Linked DNA regions of Callithrix jacchus. The main gene of each other region encodes a partner of the protein of the gene in region 2 in a complex. Links are inferred from orthologs where the notes say so. Each region holds a gene or a part of one and is shown on either strand. Other genes may lie near its edges.

Region 1 (4,091 bases), on a different chromosome or scaffold from region 2:
CCATGTTGCCCAGGATGGTCTCAAACTCCTGACTTCAGGTGATCCACCCGCTTCGGCCTCTCAAAGTGCTGAGATTACAGGTGTGGGCCACTGCACCCTACCTAACCACAGTGATTTTAATTACCTGTATGCCCAGACCTCCATGAGAACCAAGCCCGTTTCAGCTCAGAGGTATGCCAAGTCAGTATCCTTCTCCACAGCACCTTCAGCAGGAACACCCTCTACCTTGTTTGCCTGGAGAACTCCTACTCATCCTTCAACACCCAACCCAAATGTTCCTTACTCTGCAAAACCTTCCTGCAGCTACACTGGCCGGGTGTCTCATCTGGGCTGTCACAATACTTTGCACTTCCTCATTGTTAGGTCTCTAGATTAGGACTTTTTCAGCCAGGGACTACTGCCCTCCCCACAGAGGGAACGTTGAGTGTAGGAGCTGAGGCCAACATCTCTCAGGGTCTGTAACATTGCCCAGCACAAGGCTAGCCATAGAGGTATCGCTCAGTCAGTGTGTGTTAAATCAATGTCAAAAGCAGGGGCTATGCTACCTTGGACAGACTGTGTCCCCCAGCTCTGCCTCAGCCCCCCACTCACCACACCATTGACGGACAACAGTTGGTCCCCACGCTTGAGGCCTCCATGGCGGTCAGCCACGCCCCCCGGGATGACCCGGGAGATGTAGATGGGCGAGTTCTGCTCTTTGCCACCCATGATGTTGAAGCCCAGGCCCTCATCCGTCTTGGGCAGCTCCACTACCCGGGGATGTGCGTGGCCCTCGCTGGCTGTGAAGGCAGCCACTGTGGCCTGGGAGAGAGAAAGCAGCTGGAGGTGAGACCCCTCCAAAGTGGGCATGAAGGCTGGGGAGGAGAATATGGACCGAGGACAGCGATTTAGCCTGGGTTCTATCCCCAAGCCTGGGACAATTGCCATGACACAATGCAAAATCCCCCTGAAATGTCTGTGCGCCCCTTTCCCTTCACTTTGCAAGAGAATGTGTCCATTTGGTGTGAGTGTGTCTTGAATACCCCACGCTTGCCAATCTTACCTTTTTTTTTTTTGAGATGAAGTCTCGCTCTTTCCCAGGCTGGAGTGCAGTGCCACAATTTCGGCTCACGGCAACCTCTGCCTCCTGGGTTCAAGCGATTCTTCTGTCTCAGCCTCCCGAGTAGCTGGGATTACAGGCATGTACCACCACGCCCAGCTAATTTTTTTGTATTTTTGTAGAGATGGAGTTTCACCATGTTGGCCAGGCTGGTCTTGAACCCCTGACCTCAAGTCAGGACCCACCTCAGCCTCCCAAAGTGCTAGGATTACAGGCATAAGTTACCATGCCTGGCCTCAATCTTACTTTTTTTTTTTAGAGGCAGGGTTTCACCATGTTGGCCAGGCTGGTCTCAAACTCCTGACCTCAGGTGATCCGCCCACCTCAGGCTCCCAAAGTGCTGGGATTACAGGCCTGAGCCGCCGCACCCAGCTCTTCGATCTTACTTTTACACTGAGAAAAGCCAGGCCTGGAGGGAGCTCAGAGCCTCCGGGCAGAAGCAGGCGGCAGCATCTCACTGTGGTGCAGTGGGATGTCAGCTCGCCGTGACTTTCCTGGTTTGCACTGTGCAGATGTTGAAGGTTATCTTCTAGCCCGCCATGCCACACTGGTTTCCATTTGCAGTTGCTAAAAAGATACCTTCGTATGACATTTGTTTTAAGTAAAAATGTGCAACTATTTAATAATAGGAAGGGTGGCACATAGATTTGGCAAAAATCTTGAGGGAAGAAACAGAAATGACTGGCGTGAAGGAGATAACCGAGCTCCACCAGGCAGCTACGCAGATACCAGGAGCAATGGAATGGGGTGAGGGGCCCACCTTGGCTGTGGCATGGGCCCTGATCTCGGCGCTGCCGGTGAGGTCCAGCGTGTCATAGAGCTGCTCATATACCTGGGTGAAGAGGCAGCCGCATCAGGGAGCCGCCAGCCCCTCCGGCCCTAGACACAGAAGTCCGGGCCCCAGACCCTCTCCCGATCCCACGCCAGGATCCGCCCCGCCCCCCGCAATCAGAACCCGAGGAAACTACAACTCCCGAAGAACCCCTGAGCTGAAGAGTGGGCACCCAAGGCGGGCCGCCTCGGGAGCTGCCGGGAGGCGTAGTCCCCGAGCTCGAGGCGAGCAGGAGAAGGAGGAGGAGGAGGACGACGGTCGCCAGCTCGCGCCCCTGCGCCGCGCGCCCCTCACCTCTCGGATAGCGGAGCAGAAGCGGCTCTGCAGGACTCTCTGGAGGGCCTGCAGCTTCTGCGGGGGCAGCTCTCCGCTACGCTGGAGCCGCTCGAGGAGCTCCACTGCCCGGGACACGTCTGCGGGGCGGGGGCGGGGGCGGGGCGCAGAGACCGCGAGTGTCAGAGACCCCGAGACGCAGAGGAGCGAGGAGAGCGGCGGAGTGAGGGCGAGCGCACAGCCCCGGGAGGACGGCCGAAGCCCAGTCGGACGCCCTGCAGAGTCCAGGGTGACGCAGGAGAAACCGCCACCAGCCGGGCGCCTTGCGGCCCCGGGACCGCTCCACAGGCCGGGGTGTAAAGCGGGCGCCCCCCGCCCCGGCCCGCGCCCACGGAGCCTCCCACACCCCCCGACCGCCCGGCCCCGGCGCCCGCCCCGCCCACCCGCGCCGGCCAGGCCCGGGAAGGGAGGGGACCGGGGACTGGGGACGCAGGCCGCGGTGGGCAGGGCCCCCTGGCGCGCGCTTACCCCGCTCCAGCCCCAGCGGCTCCACCAGCGCAGCCATGTCGGCGCCACCGCTGCCAGCCGCCAGCCTGCCCCGGCGCCGGCGAGGGGGGCGGGGCTGCGCGAGGCCACGCCCCGGGCCACGGGCGCCCCCTGCGGAGGCGCAGCCGGGAGAGCGCCCTGCTCCCCCACGCCGGACAGCCCCGACCCGCTGCCGCGCGCCACCCGCAGCCCTGCCCTCCGCCCCGGGCGGTCGGTCCTGTTGGCGGGCCCTCCCATTGCAGGTTCGGTCTGTGTGTCCCTTTCACGATCCCTGTCTGCCTGTCCTCCACACCTGTCTACCCCCTGTCCATCCTTTTCCCACATTCATTCAACAAACTCTTGTGAAACATCTTCTGGGCCCGAGGCATGGACACCGTGGTGAGCAGGACAGCCAAGCCCACAGCCCGAACGGAGCTTCCAGTCTATGGGGGAGGTAGACAGCCAACCACGACTGTGATGAGAGCTGAGTGGGGAGGCGATGATCCAGAAGACGAAGGAAATCCTAGAGGAGGGACTTGACAGAGTCCCGGGAGGTAAGATGAACACCCCCACCACGCAGAAGGAGCCCACGTGGCTGGAAGCAGAGTTGGGATTCCTTGATGATGAGGTGAAAAGGCCGGCAGGATAGTTTATGCCTGGGCTCCTGCGTTGGCATGTGTATTGGGGATTTGGGGCTTCATGCAAACTCCTAAGGGTAAAATATGGCACTCAAATTTGTATTTATATATTTTTGAGACGGAGTTTCACTCTTGTTGCCCAGGCTGGAGTGCAATGGCACCACTCCGTCTTCCGGGTTCAGGCGATTCTCCTGCCTCAGCCTTCGGAGTAGCTGGGATCACAGGCATGCGCCACCAGGCCTGGCTAATTTTGTATTTTTAGTAGAGACGGGGTTTCTCCATGTTGGTCAGGCTGGTCTCAAACTCTACCCGCCTCGGCCTCCCAAAGTGTTGTAGTACAAGCATGAGCCGCCTTGCCCGGTGGATACTGGGTATTTTGAATTTGAGGAGCCTGTGCAGAATCCATGGGGAGAAGCAGTCGATCTACGTCTAGGGCTCAAAAGAGCAACCTGGTCTGCAGGCATCCTTGAGTATTGGGGCAGAGGTGGTAAATGAAACCACAGGAGTGGATAAGAATGTCAGGGGCAAGAGAATATAAAGAGGGCCTAGGACTGGTCCCCAAATCTCTCTAACACTTAAAAGCGGGGGACAGCAGAGAATGACCTGAAATGTAGGAGGAAACCCAGGTGGGAGAAACTATGAAAAGAGAGTTAAAAAAAAAAAAAAAAAAAAAAAAAAAATTTGCCGGGTGCAGTGGCTCAAACCTGTAATCCCAGCACTTTGG
Region 2 (3,510 bases):
TAAAATTATCAGGTTGAAATTACAATAACCATCACAGCTACAAAGATGTGAGGAAAAATTCTTCATAAAGAATTAGTCATGTGTAATGTGTTAAAATGAAATGGTACAAGCTCTCAATGCTCAAATGTTATGGTCCAAAATGCAGACATTATGGGATGGAAAGGGTTAATAAAGGATTGGCTATTAGCAGCTTAGTTTAGAGAAGTTTCTATAGAGGATATCTATTCACCTGTCGTCCTTTTGGTTGGGTAGTTGATGGCAAGTCCTGTAGAATAAAGCCAACCCAGGAGAAAAATTTTCATTTACTTTTCAAGAGTACAAAGTAATTTGTGTGTTCTGTTACAATATGGTTAAAAAATGAGCTAGATTTAAGTTGTAAAGAGATAATATACATTATTCCATTTCTCAGAAATGTTGAGTTATCAAAAAAATCAAACCCAGGCCATTTAGCAGCAAGCTGAAGAAAGCAGGTAAGTTTAAGCAGAGAGAAAATGTGTTCTTAAGAAACAACTCAGCATCTTCAACACAAAAGCCACTGCAAGTTAAATAGCCTATTAAAAAAACCCCAAAATAAAAGGAGCTGTTGCCCTTTTCAACTTAGTCACTGCAACCATTTAGATTTTGAAAAATTCAATGGCTATATGGCTTTTCACCATCTTAAAAGTATTAAATGTTAACTGTTACAAATGAATTCCTTTGGTAGCCTATTTTAAAGTTGAAAATAAAGTCATAGACAATTTTCTTTCATAATTTCTCTTACTGATATACTTAGAATATCATTCCATTTGAGATGATCTCTAAATTATTTACAATTTTACCTGATAAAAAAGTTGATATATTCTCAAAGGGCAAATTAAAAGTCAAGATAGAAGAATACTGCTGCATTATTAGAACTCTCAATAATTTTAACTAGGTGATAAACAGCAGTATTAGCAACCAAAATATTGCCAACCTGCACCTGTTAAGTGCTTCCATTTGTTTAAATAAGTGAAAAACAATTCTTTCTATATTCCAAAATGGATAGTTCTGAAAAAATTTAAAACTCCATGTTCAAGTCCAATATAAAGTACTTTGTGTTAAAGATGTGATAACAGCGTGGCTTAAGTGCAGTTTGAAGCCAGTTCTTTTTGCTTTTCATATCCAGGCAAGGCTTATAATTCACAAAAATATGTGCACGTACCACAATAACAGAGGGCACACCAATTCGTAAACTTAGATAGCGGAAACTATAACATGTTGCTGATATCACTCAGAGTAGAAAACTACAAAGCCCAAGAATACCCAAATGCCTACTCTAAAAAATTCTTACATTTATCTTTTTCAAAATAAAAAATATTTAGAAGTTTAAACAAATTTCCATTTACATCCTTTGCATAGGTTTGAGGAAAGTCATACATATGAGTGGGGTGGCATAGAAATATTTTTAGAATGACCAAAGCAGTTTTGAACTACATTTCCTCAAATTTAACTACTGAAGGGGCTTTTTAATGAGAAGGAAGTGTTGAAAAAGATTTTCCAGGAGTAAAGTGCATTGTAGCTGTAGTAGCCTTGTATATCAGCAGAAGACACTATTTCCACTGAACACATGTAACTAGAACACTCATGGCAGGTGAGCACCAACAAAATTGTCACACTTTGTTGTGTGGAGCTAAAGTTCTTACCGAAACAGAATTGTTAGTGCTGCTATGACCATTAGCTGGGGACTGTCTGGAAGTGGAGGGGGAATCTCTCTGAAATAAGACACAAGGTTCATTAACACAGAACACCAGCACAGAAACACAGAGATATTTATATCAACAGTTACAACCACAGTCTGACAACCATTTCCTTTGAGGTTTGAGCAGTATAAGTGCCATACTGACTTGCTTGCATGATTTCACAGAAGTATGAAAAAAATTTTGCAGTTCGAAGATTCACATATTGTAAGTGATGACTGTGTCATTCATTAATCAATTCTTTCCTATCTCTAACATTGTATAACCTTTTCTTTCTTTTAATGAGACCCAGAAGAGTGACTTGATATTAAAACCCTGTCAAGTATAAGATGACAAAATATTACTATAAAGTTTTTGTGCCGAAGATCCCAAGTGTCTAATTTTTATTAAAAATTAGGTTTGAAAAATATTTAATAATTTTTAGTACCTCACTGTCAAGAATTACTGACTCGGCCGGGCGCGGTGGCTCAAGCCTGTAATCCCAGCACTTTGGGAGGTCGAGGCGGGTGGATCACGAGGTCAGGAGATCGAGACCATCCTGGTCAACATGGTGAAACCCCGTCTCTACTAAAAAATATACAAAAAATTAGCTGGGCATGGTGGCGCGTGCCTGTAATCCCAGCTACTCAGGAGGCTGAGGCAGGAGAATTGCCTGAACCCAGGAGGCGGAGGTTGCCGTGAGCCGAGATCACGCCATTGCACTCCAGCCTGGGTAACAAGCGCGAAACTCCGTCCCCCCCCCAAAAAAAAAAGAAGAGAAACAAACCTAAGATTTCACATGTTATAACCACCTCAGAATCTTTCTATTATAGAATAAATATTATTACTAGTAAGGGTAAAAGAGATACACATCAGAGAAGAAATTTTTTTAAGATCATTTTAGTAATTTATTAAAACAATAGTCTCAAGCTTAAAACAATATTACACTTCCAGCAAAGATCCTAGGAGCCACAGCCACTCTTTCTATATCCAGGCTCCTCCATCGCTTGCTCTCTCTACTATTCTACACACTCAAAATATTTTCCAGGCTCCATTTCCTGACTGTCCAAATCAACTTTAACGATAAGAACAAGGAAAGGAAGGAAATAAGTACTTTTTAATTTTTGCTTTTGTAGAGTTCTTTTAAGCCTTAGAAATGTACATGTCTCTTTAAAAGACATTTTTTTTTTCCCTAGATGATTTAAGAGCATTTCTATAACCTGTCAGCCTTAAAGGTAATGAGATCCCTTAGAAGAGCATTCTCATATGTTAGTGAGCAAGGCTGATCTCCAGGTGCCACCCACAGAGACTCAAGTCAGTAGGGCCAGGGGTCTACTCTTTAACCAAGGGCCTCGGAGATGCAGTTGCAGGTGGTCAGAGAGCCTTCTTTGTTTGTTTGTTTTTTTTTGCAAGTGTTGCCCTAGCTGGGAAGAGTCCAACCACAAGCTTGAATTCTCCCGGGGAACAGGAGGGCCAAAAAGGGTAGAGGTGGAGCTAGAAGACAAGTATTATTTTTTCTACTATTCAAAGGCAAAGAAGGTAAGAGGGATTCTTCTTACTCAAGAACATAGAATTTACATGCATGATACTGGTTCCACCCCAAACTACTTCAACCACTTAAAAAACAAAAGAAAAACTTATGTTATATTAATAACTAACAGTACCTTCTGGTTAGCCAAAAAGACAAAAATCAATTGTATTTACTACATTTCTTCAACAGATGAGAAATGGTATGAGGACATCTGTAATTCTAGAACATTAAAATTATTTACATAAAATGTTAAGTGTGACATTCTTTGTTTCTCAGCAACATTTA
Region 3 (4,268 bases), on a different chromosome or scaffold from region 2:
GTTCATCAATCATTTTTATTTATAAAGTTATAATATGTTAAGCCATATAAAAATTTCCAATTAACAAAAAAACGGAAAAACGTAAAATGCTTTTGACTAAATCTAAACTGTACCTAATACGTGCTCAAATTTGTGTTTCATTAAAATAATATTTTGATGATTTAGAAGGGATTCTAAATCATCATATGTGATCAGGTACTGAACTGTAACTGTACTATAGGATTTTCTACTGTAGAACTGTTGGGAGTGTTTGCTAATAGAGTCTGTTAGAATTCTAAGAAAGAATCAGAGCTGATGTAATCTTTTTCCCCTGCTAAATGGCAACTACTAGTACAGCTGTCTCGATAACCGTGGAGGGTTTGTTAGGACCTTCTTCGGATATCACAGATATCAAAGTCTGCAGATGCTCAAGTCTCTGATATAAAATGTAGTATTTGCATATAACCTATGCATATTCCTGCTCCATACTTTAAATCATCTCTAGATTACTTACAATATCTGATGCTATGTTAATAGTTATATCACATTATTTTTGTCGTTGTTGTCATTTTGAGATGGAGTCTTGCTTTGTTGCCCAGGCTGGAGTGCAGTGGCAAGATATTTACTTACTGCAACCTCAGCCTCCCAAGAAGCTGAGACTACAGGTGACTGCTACCATACCTGGCTAGTTTTTGTATTTTTAGTTGATAAGGGGTTTCACCATCTTGACCAGGCTGGTCTTGAACACCTGACCTCGTGATCCATTGACCTCATGATCCACCTACCTCAGCCTCCCAAAGAGCTGGGATTATAGGTGTGAGCCACCGCTCCAGGCCATACCATATTACCACATTGTTTAGGTAATAAGGACAAGATAAAAATGTACACATTCTATAGACAGGATTTTTTTCTCTAAGTATTTTCAAACTGTAGTTGGTTGAATTCATGTACGTGGAACCCATGGATATGGAGGGTTGACTGTTATTCATCCCTCTAAGGGGCTGAGACTTTACTGAAGAATGGAAAAGGAAAACAAGCCTGTAACAGCACAAAGCAAAGCCATGACTATCAAAACTAATTGCCACAGGAGTTACACATTTTGTGCTGCATTTAACAACACAGAAAACCGGCTGGGTGCGGTGGCTCATGCCTGTAGTCCTAGCACTTTGGGAGGCCAAGGCAGGTGGATAGCCTGAGCTCAGGAGTTCGAGACCAGCCTGGGCAACATGGTGAAACCCCGTCTCTACTAAAATACAAAAAATAGCCAAGCGTGGCAGAGTGTGCCTGTAGTCCCAGCTACTCGGGAGGCTGAGGCCGAATTGCTTGAACCCGGGAGGTGAAGGCAGTAGCGAGTGAGATTGCGCCACTGCATTCCAGTCTCTTCGACAGGGCGACACTCTGCCTCTGGGAGTAAGACCACCAATATGTTAGAATCTTACAACTAGCTTTTCAAAGAAAAACTCCTACTTCTGTTAACACCAAACAGATTTGCTCCCATCTAGGAAACACAATGCCATTGTGCTCAAGAGAAAGATGTCAGTCTTAGGCCTAACTCGGCAAGTGTTCCCAGAGTAGCTAGTCCTGTCTAAAATGACGTTTTAATAGGCTTAAGGGAAAGAATCTCATTTACTAGGAGGCTTCCAAATGGTGAACACTATAAAGAACAAATCAGCGATACTAAGTGCACCTTTGTTTGTGGGGAGGCATTAGGAAAGAGGTTTTTCTAAGTACAGTAATTCTAAAAATGTGTTTTCTTAGGGAACAATAGTAATACTCAGACTGTAACTGCAAATGTTAATATGTGCAATATAATTTTAGTCTCTATTCTACACTTTCTTTTTTTTACCACCAGAACTCAAAATATTTACTCATGCTTCTTAACTCCTATCAATGACTTCTAATGATGGTGTATGAAAAGCATGCTTAAAATTGTTTGAAATAAAGGATTTAGGGACAGAGTGGAAGGCTGGAAATCCGTAACAGGACTGGAAACGCTGGAATGCTGGAAATCTGGTAGGCGCATAGCCAGCTATTTTCAGTCTTCTCTATCTCTAATTACTCAGCAGAGGAGGTTTTATTTTCCTTGACAGTCTGCTCTAGGGAAGAATCAACCAACCAGTTTTGCAACTGTGGGTTTGTAAGAAATTGAAAACCTTACACCTGCAAGTGTTTTAGCATCTACCACTATTCTGCTTACTTATGTAACCTTTTTCCCAAGACCAAGTCAGTAGGATTGTTTTTAAAGCAACCTCTCCATTTCTGGGAGGGGCACAAAAGCTAGCAAATACCCCAACCCAAATACAAGTGGGGTTGTGGGAAAAGTAATGAAGAAGTTTGCGTGTAAACAAGGGGGAAGGGAGGTTCTGTTGAATTGGACCGTGTGTCCGTCTTCGTGTTGTACAGGCAATGAACGTAGTCTGTACGAACTGGGTGTGTGACGTTTGCTTTTCGGGTAAACGGGTCTCCGAATGCTGCTTATGCTGTACCCACCAAGGGAGCGCGTGTGCGGCGTGTGTCTGCGAAGCTAGCAGGTTATATTTAGTTGTGCTGTGCCCCGGGACAGCCCGTGTTAACAGAAGAGGGCTTTGAGTATCAGCTGAAAGACCGTAAGCGTCCTTCCTACAGCCAGGCACAGAGACATCGGCGGCCTCTAGCGCCAGCGCAAGGGACAGCCTGGCTCCGGATCTCAAAGCCTGGGTCACCCCTCCACCCCTCCAGCGACCTAGGACTCCTTCAACCCTTCCGCCCACCTCCGCCGAGCTTCGGCTGCACTCACCCCTCTCCAGCCGCACGGGTTCCCCTAGCGCCGCCATCTTCTCCCTTAGCCTACAGACCCACAGGAAATGACGACAGAAAGGCTGCGGTGGAGAGGCGGGGCCCGCCGGAAGCCGGAGAAGTGAGCGCCTGTCAGTATCGCGAGATCGGGAGGTTGGCCGGTGGTTTCGTAGCCGCCATCAGGGTAAGGGTACTTGGACTTGGCGGCTTTTGAGTTTGGCTTGGCTCTGCACCTTCCGCGGCCTCCTAGGGTTGGAAAGAGCTGCTTTCCTGACTCTGTTCTCTCCCTTGGGTTTCCCTTATCCTAACCGCTTCGGATCCTTGGCTCCACGCAGAGGAGTCAAGTAGTCGATTCTAGTCCCACCTTGATCATTAGCTCTTTGACCCGGGACTGTTCATTTACCCTCTCTCGGCCTCAGTTTTCGCATCTGTACAACGAGAGGTCCTATCACTTAGGTGCTTTCAATTTTTAAACTCTGAGATTCGGTGGCAATTAAGTGTGTAATGACATGTTGTCAGTTCTCAATTTGTGACAGCGTTGCTTTAAATTTAAAAACCCACCTCTTGAATCTTCCCTCCAAATCTGTTTAAGGGTGAAAAGTACAAAGAGCATGAAACATATCTGGGTGAGGGAGAAAACAAGGTGCTTTGGGTGTACCACAAAGTAACAATTTTATAAGCAGGTGATTCTTATAAAATCTTAAGTAAATGAAATATTTTGAAGCAAATAGTAAATTCTCAGTGCATTACAGATTCTTTGAGCCAATTCTGAAAATTTCATGAACCAAGAAAAGTTTTTGTATTTGCATTTGACTAACATTTACCCAAGCCCTTAGTCTGTGCTGATACTGTGGTAGATGTGTTTACATCCAACATTTCAACACTTCATGATAGGACTGTTTTAATAACTAGTTGCCCCTGGTCCACCCTTTCCATTCACCTTTAGTATTTTTCTTTTCCAAATCCATCATGAATGCCACTACTATGCTCCTTTTTCTCCCCTGGAATTCTGATTTCATCATCACAAGTTCGTTCAGAAACTTTCAATAGTTTCTCTCCTGTTACCTATTTCTAAAGCCTTGCATACTCTGACCCTAACTCATCCAACTAACCTTTCTCATTACCTCTAGGTGCAACCACCACTTCAGTCCAGGTGGTATATTTTCAGTCATGTTTGTTCCTCGTTCTAAGTCTTTATGTTTGTTTTAGAGACATTGTTTCTCTCCGTTGCCCAGACTGGAGTGCAGTGTTGCGATCATTGCTCACTAAACTTGGGCTCAAGACAGCCTCCTATCTCAGCCTTGCCCCTAGTGGGGACTACAGGCAAGCACCACCATGCCTGGCTAATTTTAAAATTTTTAGTAGAGATGGGGGTCTTGATGTGTTGCCCAGGCTGGTCTTGAACTCCTGAGCTCAAGCAGTCCTCCTGCTTAGGCCTCCCAAAGTGCTGGGATTACAGGTGTGGGCCACTGCACCGGGCCCCAAATCTTCATTTATGTTGTTCTTGTGTGGAA
Region 4 (3,961 bases), on a different chromosome or scaffold from region 2:
TGGCACATTCCTTCATTTCTCTCGCTGAATGAATGTGGAAGACTTTCTAAGGCAGGTCTTGACCTTTCTGGACACATCAGGACATGAGAGTCACAGAACCAGATGAATGCAGTAAATTATAAGCAAACCCGGAAATGCAAAAATATCAGACTAATCAGAATCTCTAATGAATTACTATTTTTTAAAATTCTTTTTAAATTATCGGAAGAACAACACACACATACACTTATATCAGAGGAAATTTAGTAAGTTACTTGTTTTCAAGGAAACTTCCGACGTCAGTACACATTCGTTTATAACGCCCTTATCTTCCTTATCTATAGCCCTGTTCAATAGCAACTGGCACTCAGAATAAGAAATTTGAGACACCACATGATATTACATTTCCCAAGAAAATAATAATGTCTCCTCATTACCAAGGCAATAAATCCTTCTACACCATTTTAGAATATTTATCAGAATAAAGAGTTGAAACAAAAAATGTTTACTGAAAAACTATCCCTTAGCCAAGAGAGGTCTCCCCTAGGCACCATGATGAATTTTGTAAACTTGTATTGAAGAGTTACAAATTTTAGGACCAAGTTAATCATCTAAGTGACTGAGGTCTATAAATCATCCCCCACAACTGAAAAAAAGTTTTCCCTAAATTGTGGTGCTTTAGAAAATGGTGCAAAAGTGAAACTTAGACCACTGTCAAGAGGTTTAATTCCACATGAATTATTATTATTATTATTATTTTTTGAGACAGAGTCTCACTCTGTCACCCAGGCTGGAGTTTAGTGGCAGATCTTGGCTCACTGCAACCTCCGCCTCCTAGGTTCAAGTGATTCTCCTGCCTCTGGAATAGCTGGGATTACAGGCATGTGCCACCACACCTGGCTAATTTTTGTATTTTTAGTAGAGATGATGTTTCGCCATGTTGTCCAGGCTGGTCTCGAACTCCTGATCTGAAGTCATCCGCCTGCCTTGGCCTCCCAAAGTGCTGAGATTATGGACATAAGCCACTGTACCCAGGCTAATTCCACTTGAAATATCAGCTACAATTCGATTAGCTTGTGGGCTCCAAAAATGATTTAAAATTTTAAAGTACAGGCTCAGGCCGGGCATGGTGACTCATGCCTATAATCCTAGTACACTGGGAGGCTGAGGTGAGTGGATCACATGAGGTCAGGAGTTCAAGACCAGTCTGGCCAACATAGTGAAATCCATTCTCTACTAAAAACACAAACATTAGCTAGGCATGGTGGTGCATGCCTGTAGTCCCAGATATTCTGGAGGCTGAAGCAGGAGAATCGCTTGAACCCAGGAGGCAGAGGTCGCAGTGAGCTGAGATCCACCAGTGCACTCCAGCTTGGGTGACAAAGTGAGACCCTCTCTCAACAGCAGCAACAAAAAAAGTACAGGTTCTGCAAAAGCAACCAAATGGCTGTTGTACACATCCTCCAGGAGACGTTGAACCAGAAACCAAAACCAAGAGTGTGACCCTTTAAGTACTTTGAAGGTGACAAAAGTACAACCACTCTCTTCTCTCTATTCACACATCCAGATTCTGTCATGTACATCTTGCTCAGACACAGCTGGAACCAGAGCTGGATGTGACCTGTCCCTCTTTTGAATGCTGAGGTGGGCAAGCATTGGCATGCGACTCCAGCATAGTTGTTCATTCCCTGGTCAGGGTCTGGCCCTTTTTCTAGTGACCTGTATTGTATTCTACTCTGTAATGTAATGATTTATCTACATATTTTATCTCACCTAATAGATTATGAATTTTTGAATGCAAGGACCATGCCTTTGTATCTTCTTTGAAGTAATGCAAAGGAAAACTCACTGTAAATTATGAAATACTTTCATAGGTCTAACTTTCTTCTTTGTAAAATTATTTGCATCTATTAGCACCTAACACATTGCAGATGCCCAATAAAGATATGTCAACTGACATTGAAATCAACAAACATCTCCAATTATTCCCCTCCTGTCACCAGAATCCCACACGGTATCTAGTAGAGTTCAGCCCAGCAAAGAGATCAACTGTCTAAAGGACATTTGTTGGAATAGAGCCCAGCAAGCTGACCTGCCATCCTCAGTTCTCTGCCCATCAAGCACAAATACCGCCATCGCCTCTTTCATTTCATACTCTAGTATTTGGTTGCACACTGTGGTGTCCTGGCAAGCTATCCAGGAGAGCTCCCTCAGGGAAATGTGGATGCCTGACCCTGCACTAAAAAAGTATTTCGGGACTGGCAAGTGGAGGGGTTGCCACAAACCATCCCCACCATTTGGATGTCCGAAAAGTAAGCATCAGCACAACTCTTCTCCCCCAGGTAGCAAGGGAAACAAAACCCATGAAACCAAAGCGGGCAGCTGATTCGGAGGACGGAGCAGGGCTTCTGTTTTTGCCTCGCTATGTCAAACACACAGGAATAAATGCAATAGAAAGACGTTTTGCTTCCCAAATGGAAACTTTGCAAGTCTTTCTAAACTGTTTTTTATCAACTAATCTGTCTTTGAACGATGTTACCTTAAAAAAAAAAATAAGCTTGTTTCAGTAACGTGGAAAAACTAAATAAATCACTTTCTCACTAGGAAATACTTCTCCTGTTTTAAAAACCAAATTCAGGAATTTGACTTTAAGAAAGAAAAAAATGAAATTTCCTAATGGCCATTTTCTGAAATGAATTAATATCTAGAGGCCCACTGGCCACCTGCTCGGAGCCAGTCAGCATTCTTACCCAATCACAGGTGAAGTCAGAAGCACTCGGAGTTTATGATGTACTGGCAATGCTTCGTTTAGAACATTTACCAACTGCTGTATTTTTTTCCACAGAGTCTCACTATTTTGTTATAAAGACTAGAAGAACAGGCCCTTGTTCTCAGGCAAGAAAACACAGAAGCGTCATTTGTTTATTATTTTTAACTACTGTGCATTTTGTGTGCTTTATAGCTTCTTCAATGATTGTTCAATTGTGAGTATATTGGCATGTGATTTGAGGTCAGCTGTTTGCTCCCTGGCTGGTACAACCAATCTATAATCTTGATAGGGAGAAATAAAGTCCAAGCTGCAAATTCTAGGCTGCCAACTAATACTCTCCCTCTCTTCAAATCTGTGTCTATCATGAAAAACATTCTCAAACTGTTTACATTTCACTGAATATTACTTAGAATATATTTTTAAAGGCATCTTTCCTCTTCTTCATTGCTTTAAAAAATGTAGACAGGCAGGCCGGACATGGCGGCTCAAGCCTGTAATCCCAGCACTTTGGGAGGCCAAGGCAGGTGGATCAGGAGGTCAGGAGATCGAGATCATCCTGGCCAACATGGCGAAACCTCATCTGTACTAAAAATATAAAAAAGAAAAAAAATAGCTGGGCATGGTGGTGTGTGCCTGTAGTCCTAGCTACTCAGAAGGCTGAGGCAGGAAATTTGCTTGAACCTGGGAGGCAGAGATTGCAGCGAGCTGAGATCGTGTCACTGCACTGCAGCCTGGCTGGCGACAGAGTGAGACTCTGCCCCTCTCCAAAAAAAAAAAAAAATGCAGAGAGGCAAACAAAAGAAAATGGTCACCAATTCTACCACCCAAAGGTAATCACAATTAATTATATATATTATATATGGAAGATTTGGTGCAAAATCTTCCAGGCTGTTGGAAAGAGGTTTTGTTTGTTTGTTTTATTGCAGGGTTTTCGTTAATAAGCACCAAAAAAAAAAAACTGAAAATAAGTTTTGCTAGAGTTTTAAAGTGATGCTATCTTCTAAAAAAATTTTTGCTAACTAAAACCACATAAATAAGATTTTCTTTCATTGAATGTTTTTCGTTTGCCACCAGTATACATACAGCTCAAGTGGGCCATCAGTCTAGGGGGTGATGGGCATTTTTAAGAAAAATACATGAACTTCTGCTGTTCCAAAGTCCAATACAAGAGTAATCACAAGACTGCTTTAACCGATTCCATTTGTTTCATTT
Region 5 (4,178 bases), on a different chromosome or scaffold from region 2:
AAATGGTCTCTTCCCTCAAGGAGTTCCATCCGATAGGGAGAGAAATGCAACAGAGTATGATAAATGCTTTAATGGGGCCAAAGCAGCAAGTCAATTTAGAGCACATCAAAGGGTACCAAAGCAGCCTGGGAGAGAGGTGATCTGGAAAATCTCCCAGTAGGTGACCAAAAACTGAGTCTTAAGTCTAATTAATTGAATTATAGACTGCTAAAGCTGCAAAGTGTTAGAGTCATCTAATTCAAACTCCCGATGTGGCACAGAGAGAAACTCATGTGCTATGAGGCTGGTGTATTGAGAGTGAATATCAGAGTTGAAACTAGGACCCAGATATGTAATACTGGGCTGCATCTTTTAAAATGCACCTTTTTTGAAGAGAAATTTTCAGAATGTTTTCTTTCATCAGTTTAATCATGAAGGTAACCTATTAATGACTCATTTTAATAAGGTACAGAGAACAATATTTTATATATTGACTTTATGCTCAGTGGTGATGCCAATAACCCATCATCTCTTGGTTATAGATTTTGTGTGAGCTGCTGGTGAATTTTTCGGACCCATCCACAGGCTAATGCTGCTTGCCTCCTGAACTACTGCATGGACGTAATCACACTAAGGACAAGTAGAGTTTGGCCATGAGCAAGAACAAACTTTAAAAATAAATCTTAGTCCAATTAGCACCTCCTCTCAATAACTGACTGAGGCATCTAAGAGCTAAGGTAAAACCCAAACATTGAAATATTTTTAGTAGTAGTAGCAGTATATAAAATGACTCAGGTATGCAATCTTCTCGGAGTTTTGCTCCTAACGTAGTCACTTGATTTGGGATGTTTAACGACTGTGATTTTGTAATGGGACAATATAAGAGCTCATCACATTAAAACATAAATACTTGGGAAGTCCATAGTTTCTGATAGCTTGCCATCTGTTTGGTTCTTACTGGCAATGGATTTATCCTGCTTAGTGCAGATGATGATATTGTGGGTAAAATCATGGATTATACAACGGGTTTCTGAGGCCTTTAACTACTGTTATTAATTTTGCCAGCTTGCAAATCAACATTTTCTAATACAAAATCAATTACATTTTATTTTTCAACTCTTACTCTAAGAAAGGTTGCTATGGGCACCACATAGCATCTGTTCTGGCGCCAACAGATTGCGTTAAAGTCACCCACAGCCTCTCCAAATTAAAAACCTCAAACTGAGTTCACTGGCTTTGTCACTGTACTCCCAGCAGGATGCTCTTTTGCCTTGCCCCACCGTTCAGTTTAATCCTCTAGAAAGAAAATTTTTGGAGGTACATCGGACTAAATCATTTTCGTCTGACCACACCATTTCCAAATGGCCGCCCAGGGTCCTAAATCCGGCGGCTACGGAGAGGGACTAGCGGGTGTCCTCTGTAAAGCCCTGGGACTCCAGCGCCTTCATCACTGGACGTTGGAAGCCGGGAAGGAAACCCACACACTCAGAGACAGGTATAACCCCGCACGGGTGCACCAGCGAGGCCCGGATCACAGCAGAGGACTCCATCCCTGAGCTTGTGGCGGGGGGTGGGTCCTGGGGACGAAACCAACACTTTCCCCATTGAAGTCAGAGAGTGGGACGTACTGGGTCGCAGGTCAGAAGTTGAAATTTAACCCGACGAGCGCTGTGCCCCCGCGCCTTCCGCAGTAGCCCGGGCGCCGCGGTGACGCGGAGCTGGGAAAGGACGAGAGAGGCTGGCGCGGGAGAAGCTGAGAGTTGCCACAGACCGGGAGCTGCCGGCGGCCGGAACAGGCGCGACCCTCGCCGCTTTCGAACGCGAAGCCCGGGAGAGCCGGGCTCGGCTGCTGAGGCTCAACTGCCAGGGCTCGGCTCCCCGCGCTCTGCGTTGCCCTTAGGGCGGAGGGCAGCTCCCCGCCTGAGGCGGCTCCGCCGCCTTGCGTCCGGCCGCCCCGGGGTGCGCCCTGCCAGCCCCCCGAGAGGCCTCCCGGACTCCCGCAGGAGAACCGACCCTCGCCCTCCGGCGCCAGGACAAACTTCCTTCCTTCCGGGCCCCTGCGCCGCGCAGGCTGGCAAGCGGCTCACTAGCCGGTCTCCTCTGGGCTCGCTCCGGCCGGCGAGCTTGCTCCGTGCCTCTCTCCAACCCCGAGCCCCGGGCGCCTAGCAGTCCCCGCGCGGCCGGTCCAACAAAGCCAGGGGCCCGGAGGCGACCCGGCGAGGGGCTGGGAGTGGCTGCGGGGACCCCAGAGCCCGCAGGAGGCGTCCCCTCGGCGGGGCGAGTCCAGTGTGAAGGGGCGGCGGGGACGTGGCGGGGAGAAAAGGGGAAGAAAGTGTCCTGCTCCCGGCGCAAACGCCTTCCAGGCTCGCCCTGGCTCCCCTTCTCCCGTGGCCCGAGCGCGTCCCGCGTCCCGGTGGGAATTGGCCTGGGGGGGTCGGCGGGTGGGCGGCGGAGGGGAGAGAGGACATGGTGGCCTGGCGGGCGAACCGCGTCCTTACCTCTGTCCAGGGTGAGCGGCTGGACCACTGTCAATGTCGCCATGTCTGCCGTGGGAGCCGAAGTGACGCTCGGCTTCAGCATCAGCAACCGCTTGTAGTGAGAAAAAAAGGAGGAGATGGATTGGGGGCGGGGGTGGAGAGGGAAGACGGAAAGGAGGGGGAGGAGGGGGAAGGAGGGTGGTGGTGGTGGTGGAGAAGAAAGCTTGGGTGGGTTGGTAGCCAGATGGAGACGCAACTGTTCCGCGGTGGCAGTTCAATTGCGGCGCGGAGCTGAGCAGGTATCCGAGAGCGACTGCGTCGCCGGGCTCCGGAGAGAAGGCTCTGCCCTAGAACTTTGCTATTCCACCCCCAGGAGCGCTGGGTGGGTGTAGCTGGCGGGCTGCTCTCTTTCAACTTTCCCCTCTAATAAAATGGTCAGAATATACGTGTGTGTGTGTGTGTGTGTGTGTGTGTGTGCGCGCGCGCGCGCGCGCTTCTGTGTGTCGGGGAAGAGAGAGGATGGAAAGGGGATATGGGGGAGGGAGTAGGAGATGAGTTTTCTCAGATTAAGAGAAATCGTCAATACAATAATCCCATCCCCTTTAGAGAGAAAATGCTTCTACTGTCAGAAATGTTTGGGATGTAATTACACTTGCAGTTAATTTCTGTTGAAGTTTTTTTTGAACGTTGACTTATAACTGTATATAAAGATAACTGACTTAAGGCGAGCGTTCCATCCATAGATGTTCATTTAGGACCTGAGTATATTCCTGGTGAATAAAATCAAAAAAGGCAAACCTCTTAAAAGTGTTTCAAAATAAAAAAAAATGTAGGTAAGTTTCTCTCACTACATTTTCTTTTTTTTTTTCAAGCCACTGTTAATACTTTACCAGTTCAGTAAATGTAACCCAAAAATAAGTAGGATGTTCAGATTTTCTCCGAATTTTTTTACATACCACACCTCATAAACATGCCCTGCTCTCCTCCCTCCCTCCACCCAACAACAAAACTTTGCTCTTAATGACCAAACTGATTTTGGTTTCATATCACTACGTTTGAAAAATATGTACCTATCACTTTTCATGTTGTTTTCTAACCAGTGGTTCAGAGATGCCACTTATTACTTAACATATATACCAGGAATTGAGATAGAAGAGTTACATTACCTTGTGCCACGCCTTGATTTAGGAGTTCAATTTAGTCTCTGATTTCCTGTAGCCTGTAATGCAGTGGGAGATGATGTTATTAAAAGCCTGACTTTAGAGTCAGTTGATCAGGATTCAATTACTAGTGCCTTCAAATACTGGTTGTGACCCCTTCACCCCAAGAAACAGACTACTTTCACTATCTTGTCATTAGGAATTCATTTCCCGATTATGAAATCAACAAACATAAAGAAACCTTCTATAAGCTGAATAGGGGTGACTGTGAGTGCAGGATTGGAAAACACAAAGCTGCCTCCATCTTGTTCCCTGTGGCGGAGTTGAATTGTTAGGGCTAGCAATAAATTCTAAAAGGCAGCTACCGTTTTATAGCAAAATATTTGCATATAATTGATGCCATTTTCTTCTGATTACAGATATGATTTCTGAAGGTCTTTTTCATTTTATAGTCTACAATTGAATTTTAAGGAGCAACATTTCACCAATGATTGGGAAAGTCAAAGATGGTTGCCATATATAGACTTAATACACCCTAAAAACAAACCTAAAATAGTAGTTT

The links.
Region 1: the proteins of CASK (region 2) and LIN7B are in contact, whole or in part, in an NMR structure (PDB 1Y74), measured with the Mus musculus proteins. The link is inferred for Callithrix jacchus from reciprocal best matches to the Homo sapiens genes CASK and LIN7B. Residues at the interface, in NP_001271432.1 of Mus musculus: Ala405, Arg408, Ala409, Glu411, Val412, Glu415, Ile416, Tyr419, Glu421, Asn422, Asp424, Ala425, Glu427, Leu428, Ile431, Leu432, Gln434, Phe437, Ala439, Leu440, Leu441, Thr443, His444, Val447, Ala448; in NP_035828.1 of Mus musculus: Leu10, Asp13, Val14, Arg16, Ala17, Leu20, Leu21, Arg23, Leu24, Ser27, Glu29, Leu30, Pro31, Pro32, Lys34, Leu35, Ala37, Leu38, Val41, Leu42, Ser44, Phe46, Cys47, Ile50, Arg51, Tyr54.
Region 3: CASK (region 2) and LIN7C share a complex: the UniProt entries of both Homo sapiens proteins name them as parts of the brain-specific heterotrimeric complex. The link is inferred for Callithrix jacchus from reciprocal best matches to the Homo sapiens genes CASK and LIN7C.
Region 4: the proteins of CASK (region 2) and DLG1 are in contact, whole or in part, in an NMR structure (PDB 1RSO), measured with the Rattus norvegicus proteins. The link is inferred for Callithrix jacchus from reciprocal best matches to the Homo sapiens genes CASK and DLG1. Residues at the interface, in XP_038955489.1 of Rattus norvegicus: Gly339, Ala342, Ala343, Arg345, Ala346, Val347, Gln349, Val350, Ser353, Leu354, Glu356, Ile357, Leu360, Thr361, Asp367, Leu368, Phe370, Leu371, Ser373, Val374, Phe375, Asp377, His379, Leu380, Thr382, Leu383, Leu384, Asp385, Leu386, Tyr387; in NP_036920.2 of Rattus norvegicus: Arg4, Asp7, Thr8, Arg10, Ala11, Leu12, Leu14, Leu15, Tyr18, Lys21, Leu22, Glu26, Asp27, Leu30, Ser33, Ile34, Arg36, Val37, Ser39, Ile40, Phe41, Ser43, Leu45, Phe46, Leu49, Ile50, Gln53, Glu57, Val58, Leu60.
Region 5: CASK (region 2) and LIN7A share a complex: the UniProt entries of both Homo sapiens proteins name them as parts of the brain-specific heterotrimeric complex. The link is inferred for Callithrix jacchus from reciprocal best matches to the Homo sapiens genes CASK and LIN7A.

The regions. Positions count from the first base shown.
Region 1 is NC_133523.1:42,926,079-42,930,169, reverse strand, and holds the start of LIN7B (protein lin-7 homolog B), read right to left. Parts: upstream 2,805-4,091; 5' UTR 2,770-2,804; coding exon 2,733-2,769; intron 2,345-2,732; coding exon 2,226-2,344; intron 1,932-2,225; coding exon 1,860-1,931; intron 802-1,859; coding exon 592-801; intron 1-591. UniProt on the Homo sapiens protein: Plays a role in establishing and maintaining the asymmetric distribution of channels and receptors at the plasma membrane of polarized cells.
Region 2 is NC_133524.1:42,389,229-42,392,738, forward strand, and holds part of CASK (peripheral plasma membrane protein CASK), read right to left. Parts: intron 1,731-3,510; coding exon 1,662-1,730; intron 266-1,661; coding exon 230-265; intron 1-229. UniProt on the Homo sapiens protein: Multidomain scaffolding Mg(2+)-independent protein kinase that catalyzes the phosphotransfer from ATP to proteins such as NRXN1, and plays a role in synaptic transmembrane protein anchoring and ion channel trafficking.
Region 3 is NC_133511.1:92,876,917-92,881,184, forward strand, and holds the start of LIN7C (protein lin-7 homolog C), read right to left. Parts: upstream 2,808-4,268; 5' UTR 2,793-2,807; coding exon 2,756-2,792; intron 1-2,755. UniProt on the Homo sapiens protein: Plays a role in establishing and maintaining the asymmetric distribution of channels and receptors at the plasma membrane of polarized cells.
Region 4 is NC_133516.1:24,799,156-24,803,116, reverse strand, and holds the start of DLG1 (disks large homolog 1), read right to left. Parts: upstream 2,811-3,961; 5' UTR 2,730-2,810; intron 1-2,729. UniProt on the Homo sapiens protein: Essential multidomain scaffolding protein required for normal development. Recruits channels, receptors and signaling molecules to discrete plasma membrane domains in polarized cells.
Region 5 is NC_133510.1:83,659,264-83,663,441, forward strand, and holds the start of LIN7A (protein lin-7 homolog A), read right to left. Parts: upstream 2,801-4,178; 5' UTR 2,714-2,800; exon of another isoform or gene 2,569-2,713; 5' UTR 2,560-2,568; coding exon 2,478-2,559; intron 1,475-2,477; exon of another isoform or gene 1,409-1,474; intron 1-1,408. UniProt on the Homo sapiens protein: Plays a role in establishing and maintaining the asymmetric distribution of channels and receptors at the plasma membrane of polarized cells.